2 linked regions of the Xenopus tropicalis genome follow. The protein of the gene in region 1 interacts with the protein of each later gene in a pairwise test. Links are inferred from orthologs where the notes say so. Each region holds a gene or a part of one and is shown on either strand. Other genes may lie near its edges.

Region 1 (3,568 bases):
GTGAACTGTGCTCTGATAAACTTCAAAAGTGCTGCCTACACATCAATATTACAACATTAAAAAATAGATTTGTTGGTTTAAAACCAAAATTTAAAAAAACATGGAAGAATTCCTTTAAAATGATTGAAGAAAAAGCCTAATGATAATACAATACAAATATATATGTATTTTTTTCCATCAGGTTTATTGGGTTCTATTGTTTTTTATAAAGACCATTAAGTTCTGTTTTTCACCTGTAAATGGATCAGCTGCAGCTGTGGAATAGTCCGAGTGCGATGATGAACTAGGTACATAGCGATTTCCACCTGCAATGTTGCAAAACCAATAATATGTTAATGCAGGGCTTGATTTGTGTTGTTTTAGCCTGTAAAGTGGAGTCATCCCACATAACACATAATAGTAGTGTATCTCACCAAACAGTATAAAAATAAACACTGCAGAGATCAAAAAGTGGAAAAAAACAGATGTCTCGATCTGTTACTTTTGCTTTAATCAGTTCATTTCTTTGCTAATGCTGAAACATTGTTGACAGTTTTCTACACTTTCATAATGTTTTAAATGTTTGGATGTACCTGTAAATGGATCAGCTCCCATATTATTAGTAGAAGAGCTTCCTGGAATGTAACGCCCACTACCTAGAGAAAGAGTAAAAAAAAAAAAAAAAAAACATTGGAGAATCTTATTTTTGAAATGTGTACTGGTAATGGGCGTCATTTTTGTTGATTTCTGTCACTGCTTGTCATGTTTTCAAGTGTGGACAATCTGCCTTTCATTATTACTTGTCACAAGTGATTTAACTCTGCTTTAATCAGCTTGTTAACTTGACAATACAGATAGGCGATTTAGACTTTAGGGACAATGACACACAGGGTGATTTGTAGTTAAAAGATCACTACCATTGGCTACAAATCTCCCTGAAAATAGATTAACATTGGGATTGCTGTGAGTAAAACATATTACTCATGACAATCTGCAAGTAATGGGATTGCTGCAAGTAAAACATATTACTAGCTGGCTTAAATGCGGGAAATTGCCTCCCTTACAACTTCCAATGATTATGCAGATTGTCATGAGTAATATGTTTTACTCACTGCAATCCCAATGTTAGTCTATGGCAAAGCATGTAAAGCTGAATAAACTTCACTATTAATAAGGCAAGCCTACATACAAAAAAAAAAAGCTATACTCAGCTGACCATTACCTGTGAACGGATCTGCAAAGCCTGAGTTTGTAGACTGTGTCTGGCCAGCAGTGTTATCGATGATAAATTTGGCTACCTGATCTAAGAACATGGGATTCAGATCATTCTTCTGCAAAAAGTTGTATGCAACAAGCCAAGGATCCTCTGTCAGGTTATATGGTAACTTGAAGGAGGGCCCACTCTCATTCACATCAATTGTAAACACGTAATCATACTCCTGTGAACAAAAAACAACTAAATTTAAAAAGTAGACAAAATATTGTCAGAATCAGCCAAAGTGTTTTATACAAATTTGGGTACTGCAGATATGCTTGTTTTCAGTAAACTGTGTAATACAGAAAAAGGACACCTTACGTCTCCTTATACTCACCTGACTTTTTAGAGTGTAGGCATTACCTAGTTTTCCCCACTTTACCTCTTGTATCTGTCAGTATTTGTATGAATCTTTATGTTTGATGTGTACACACATCTATTGCTGACACTTTATAATTATCTTTTACCAACAATGCTATAAACCTTAAGGGCCGTGGTTGAATGTAAATCGCCGGTGGGATGGCATATAGGAAATCGTGGCACCGCATATGCCATTCCACCGGTGATTTACATTCAAGCCAGTGGGATGGCATATTGGGGAGATTAGTCGCCCGCAACAAGGGAGATTTATCACGGGCGACTAATCTCCCCGTCTACCACGGCCCAAAGGGTGAAGACACACAAAGCTACTAGTTGTGGCTACTAAAACAGACAATGCTGATCATTTACTGATAACGGTCTCTACGTGTGTTTTAGCAGAGGCAATTCTCAGTATTGTCTATGGCAGGGTATTGTTTGCCTTTAGTAGCCATGAAAAAGTAGCTGCTAATAGTTTTTCTGTGTGTATTCACCCTAAATCTGTATTCTCCACTGTGGCTTTTGTGAAAGGAAATTCTTAACCATTCACATACTTTGCCCTCAAACAAGACTTTTCCAGATGTTTGCTGTGTTGCACCAGATGAGCCCACTACATCTCCAATCTTCATCCAGCGTCCTTCACCAGTGCTCCACTGGTAGGCTTCAACCTTCCCATCTTCTTTGATTAGCCTGGTCTGCCCATCCCTGGTTCCTTAAAAGTAAAACAAGCAATAGTAATTAAAAAGAAAAACAAAAACACTTAGGTGCTGAATCATAAGGGCTCTTTTACTTGTGTGAAAAAACACTCCAAGCTCTTTCGTACTGCTTTGCATTCAGTTATGCCTTCTGTTCCAATTTAAGTGCAGGGTGCCTTCTGATGCAGGCACAACCTGTATCTACATGGTTCCCCCCTGCAGCCTGTGTCAACAGATGCAGTGCTTATTTTAACAAATCAGCTACTAAGGTGTCAGAAGCATTGCCCCCTTCCGACTGCTTTTACATGGAAATTATGGGAAAAAATGTATGGGTAAAAAAAAAAAAAAGTAGTGATTGCATCTAAAAGTGCATTTTGCATACTGCACTAATTGCTCATAAATTACCACTATATTGTTTGTTATACCCATTATTTATAGCTTAAAAATAATGTTGAGTAACACTGCAAGAAAACATTGCCTTGTATGTAATCCTCAAGTTATGGACAGCACTCCATACTTCAATCTTCTTATAATAAAAGCCTTTATTCACATAATTGGCACAGACCAGTACAGCAATGTTTCAGGTCTACATTTACCCTTTATAAGTCTTTATATTCACTGTGTTGCTTAGAATTTTTAGGGCTTTAACTCTATGGGCTTTGGCACATAGGTATTTTGACCACCACTGCACTCTGGTGGAGAAAAGCAGCACTCAAAACGCTTGTACGCCTGTCACCACTACTGATTGCAGTAAATGTAAAACTCTATTGAATGCAAACAGAGCAGTGTCAGGAGAACTTCTGCACAAAAATGCTCAAGAGTTATGGGTTATGGTGCCATGGACCTCTTGTCTTGTGCCAGCCATGTAAGTCCACTACAGGGATTTTATTTACTTTACAGGAGTGATAACAAGCAGGAGAGCATTTTGTCCACCACTGTTCCTAGTCCCGTGCCCCAGGCTAAACATCATCACTTTGTAACTTAAAAGGTATTGGGTGGCCAGCACAAGTATTTAATGTAAGGCTGGGATGATGCCATGTTTTAGTACTGAGCCACTAGGTTAGTGGCAGAACTGATATTTACATGTACCTATAAAATCCTGGAACTTGTCAATAACACTATTAGCCATTTTTTAACGCTAGACAGCACAATATTTAAGGATGCTAGAAAAGCAGAGTCCCCTTTTTAGGAAAGTGTAAATTATTAGTGCTAAAAGACATGCAATTGATATGACACCATAAAATCACTAGTAACTACTGATTGCCTTTTTGCATGTGCATAT
Region 2 (4,321 bases), on another chromosome or scaffold:
GCTGTTGGTCTTTACTTACTTACACATTATGGTAATATCTCAATCAATTTTTAAAGTCAAACCATTAGTTTTTATAAAACTATGTATTTAAAAGCAATACAGGAGAAGAAAACAGAGGGTTTCAGAAAGAAGGGAACCCAGAATCCCTCTGGTTAATGTCTTTAAAGGGTACATACATATTTTTTAAAAAAAGTGATTTCTCATCTTCATTTCTTATCTCAATTAAACTTCTAATTATTTCTGTTTAGAGCTCAAATTCCTGCAATGATGTAAACCAATGAGTTTCATATAGGATCTCAGACCACGGAGGTCAAACTGCTTTGTTATGATTTGTAAACCAGGCCTAATGCAATTAGATATGACAGAGAATCCAGACTACTCGTGAAGGAGAGCATAAAGTGTAAGGTTATATAAAGAGAATACACATATAAGGACAGGCACCCCTTAAATTAAACAATATTTATTACTTTACTAGTTAATTAAATCCAACAGTAGGCATTAGTGTTACTCTGTAATTCTGGATGACAACACTAGGCGACCTTTTGATTTAAATGTAACCTACTATCACGGGTGATGTAATAAAAACTGATAGGGTTATGTATTAAAAGACACTAATTATGTTAAAGTGCAGTACCCAATAGCAATCAACTGCAGATAGCATTTACTGATCACCTGTTTAAAAGAACACCTTATTGGTTGCTATGGGTTACAGAACCTTGGCAAATGTAGTGCATTTTACTAAGAGGGTTAGACATTAGTTAAATAATTCACCTACTGCAGAGTTACAAATTAAAGTATCTTTAACTATGTGCCAAAGATTTGCTATGCTTAATTTTACACTTGTATGTATATTTAATTCATATGTTTCACATCCAACATCCCATATATGGATAAGCATGCTGCAGACTGCAATGGCTTCTGCACCGACATGCAATAGGCATCTAAATTATTTGATTGTGTCCACTGCAACAAATTGATGATTTGTGTTTTGATTTTGTTGGTTTATTTTTCATTTAATTTGCCCACGAGTTATACAGGGATGGCTGTCATGGAACACCTTTGTAACTGTAAGATGAATATGATTACTAAAAATCAACCCCTAACCTTCACAGGTGTCCATGCCTTGTGTATCTGTTGTACCAGAATCACTATCTTCAGGGACAACCACACTTGGTTCATCAATATCAGGATCATCTTCATGTTCTACTAACCTGAGGATAAACATTAATTGTGAATGGACAACACTGGCAAAACCGCAGACTGTAAACACTGACAAATTAATGTACCTACCAGTCCATAGCTGGTTCTATTCCCTGATTGCCAGTAGCAGCCAATGCCTTCTCTCTGTAAGAACATGTGCAAAATAAAATGACCTATTGGTAAAGGCACACAACAAAGCTACAAAAAATGTGCTAAGTGTTTACAAACATCTCGCCTGATGTGAAATGCTAAGTTGACCTTAAAGGAATACGGTTATTATATCCCTTATCCATATATCCATTATCCAGAGAGCTCTGAAATTTGGAAAGGCCAACTTTAAGTATAATAATAATTGAATAATTCTAATTGTTAAAAAAAAAAAAAATCTTTTTTCTCTGCAATAATGAGAGTATCTAATACTTGATGGTAACTAAGCTGCATGAATCCATATTGGCGGCAAAACAATCCTACTTGGTTTATTTAATGTTTACATTTTTTTCAGCATTTTTAAGGCTCGGTGATCCAAATTACAGAAAGATCCCTTATCTAGAAAACTCCACTGTCCAAGCATTACAGATAATAGATCCTATACCTATATTTGTAATACAATGCAGACATGCAATCCATGGTCATTGAAAATGTGATGAGGCCCACTATAATACTGTAGTGTTATTATGATATACAATCTGACTGATTTACACAACATAGGATTAAAGGGTGAAATAATTACGCTCTACTGGGTGAAAATCCCATCTCAATGAGACTCTCCAGCGTGGAACACTCAGCCATCTCTAAGAAAAACATACAAAAAGAAAGGATACATTTTTAGCTCCACACAGAGAAATCAATGAAATATAATGTATATTAGGAATGCCACCTTGTCTGTATTCTACTGTCCAGCCGGCAACCCTATTATATAGATAAATAGCAGACTAATGGAATGATTCATTGATATGTCCATATAATGAAAGCAGGGTTTATAATGGTTTCATTCAAGATACATTTACAGACAGTATGATTGTTATTAAATGTGAGTGCCTAGACATGTATAGATTGCATGGTACTGCTTAAGGGCTTTATGATCATAAATAACAGTTCAAATGGAAAAAATCACTATAAGCTACTGCAGCACTACTAAACAGGATTAGTAATAGGACTTTAGAACTTTAACAAGGCATTTTTTATGTAATACATTTTTTTGTAAATTTTCATTACATTTTATTCTTCCTGCCTTCCAATATGTAATATGATGCAAAAGAAAAAAAAACGTTTCAACAACATTTTACCTCCTAAAAATGTAATTAGATCAGAGCTACATAGACATCCTTTCTCTTCAGTGTGTTTGCTGAAATGAGGAATGGGGGGGAGGGGGTCGCTTCATTCTTTCACAGGAAGTAGTCATAGTACTGACAGACAGAACTTTGCAGTAGCGGAGGAAACTCCTCCCCAGCCCCGCCCCTCTGTGTCTGTTCCCAACCTGCACAGTGGCCGAATATCATACATTGCCATACTGCACTAGAAACATACCTCCCAAGTTGGCAGCTTTTCACGGGACAGCCCGATTAACATAAGGCAGCTGGCTGTCCCAGTGTATTGTTTACATTCCCCACATTGCCCGAACTGCTCCCGTAGCTCCTGATCTTTCCCGCATTCGGCTCTTCCGGCGTGACGTCACACCGGCTCATCTCGCGAGATTGCGGCGCCTCAGATTTCTGCTTTCAGTTTAAGTTTTCCTATGCTCTGCTCCTCACATACCTCCATGCTTAATCTTCCGTCCAATGCTATCATCCCCTTCAGTGCTGATGGCTCCTCCCTCCACCTTTGAAAATGGAAATCTCTTGTTGAGCAAGCACGGACCTTCTTGTAAATTCTCTGGCAAGAGAAAGATAAGGGAGGAGATACGTCCAGGATAAAGAAGGGCTCACAGAGCTGATAGAATGCTGACAATAAATGTGCTCAAAGGAGAATTTACTTGGTTAAAGGTGAAGGAAGGAGGCATAAACACTAAAGGGTATGGCAGCACATAGTATTCAGCTTTCCAACTCACCTCCTTCCTGCTTACAGAGGGGAGCGCACAGGGAGCCACAATAGGATATAAGGGTATTTTTCCTCTATGCATTTATCCAGTCTCACACTAGGAGGTTAGAAAGGCTGGAAGCCGAAATGTAACATGACAGTGCAACCCAGAGTCTGTCATGAAATACTGGTGGATACTCTCACTGTGGCTGTAATAAAATGCAGGTCTCACTGTGTCATGAAGTGCTGGGGGACTCTCACTGTGGGTGTCATGAAGTGCTGGGGCACTCTCACTGTGAGTGTCATGAAGTGCTGGGGGACTCTCACTGTGGGTGTTATGAAGTGCTGGGGGACTCTCACTGTGAGTGTCATGAAGTGCTGGGGGACTCTCACTGTGGGTGTTATGAAGTGCTGGTGGGACTCTCACTGTGGGTGTTATGAAGTGCTGGGGGGACTCTCACTGTGGGTGTTATGAAGTGCTGGGGGACTCTCACTGTGAGTGTTATGAAGTGCTGGGGGACTCTCACTGTGGGTGTTATGAAGTGCTGGGGGACTCTCACTGTGTCATGAAGTGCTGGGGGACTCTCACTGTGAGTGTCATGAAGTGCTGGGGGGACTCTCACTGTGGGTGTTATGAGGTGCTGGGGGGACTCTCTCACTATGGCTGTGATTTATTGCTGGGGGGACTCTCACTGTGGGTGTTATGAAGTGCTGGGGGGACTCTCACTGTGGGTGTTATGAAGTGCTGGGGGACTCTCACTGTGGGTGTTATGAAGTGCTGGGGGACTCTCACTGTGGGTGTTATGAAGTGCTGGGGGGACTCTCACTGTGGGTGTTATGAAGTGCTGGGGGACTCTCACTGTGGGTGTTATGAAGTGCTGGGGGACTCTCACTGTGGGTGTTATGAAGTGCTGGGGGGACTCTCACTGTGGGTGTTATGAAGTGCTGGGGGACTCTCACTGTAGGTGTTATGAAGTGCTGGGGGACTCTCACTGTGGGTGTTATGAAGTGCTGGGGGGACTCTCACTGTGGGTGTTATGAAGTGCTGGGGGACTCTCACTGTGGGTGTTATGAAGTGCTGGGGGACTCTCACTGTGGGTGTTAT

The links.
Region 2: the proteins of plaa (region 1) and ubxn1 interact in binary tests that used the Homo sapiens proteins (3 or more experiments, as listed by UniProt). The two-hybrid records come from large-scale screens. The link is inferred for Xenopus tropicalis from reciprocal best matches to the Homo sapiens genes PLAA and UBXN1.

What each region holds. Positions count from the first base shown.
Region 1 is NC_030677.2:122,240,404-122,243,971, forward strand, and holds part of plaa (phospholipase A-2-activating protein), read right to left. Parts: intron 2,304-3,568; coding exon 2,146-2,303; intron 1,419-2,145; coding exon 1,202-1,418; intron 636-1,201; coding exon 573-635; intron 306-572; coding exon of another isoform or gene 234-305; intron 1-233. UniProt on the Homo sapiens protein: Plays a role in protein ubiquitination, sorting and degradation through its association with VCP. Involved in ubiquitin-mediated membrane proteins trafficking to late endosomes in an ESCRT-dependent manner, and hence plays a role in synaptic vesicle recycling.
Region 2 is NC_030680.2:37,007,073-37,011,393, reverse strand, and holds the start of ubxn1 (UBX domain-containing protein 1), read right to left. Parts: upstream 2,846-4,321; 5' UTR 2,487-2,845; intron 1,992-2,486; 5' UTR 1,990-1,991; coding exon 1,931-1,989; intron 1,345-1,930; coding exon 1,291-1,344; intron 1,212-1,290; coding exon 1,105-1,211; intron 1-1,104.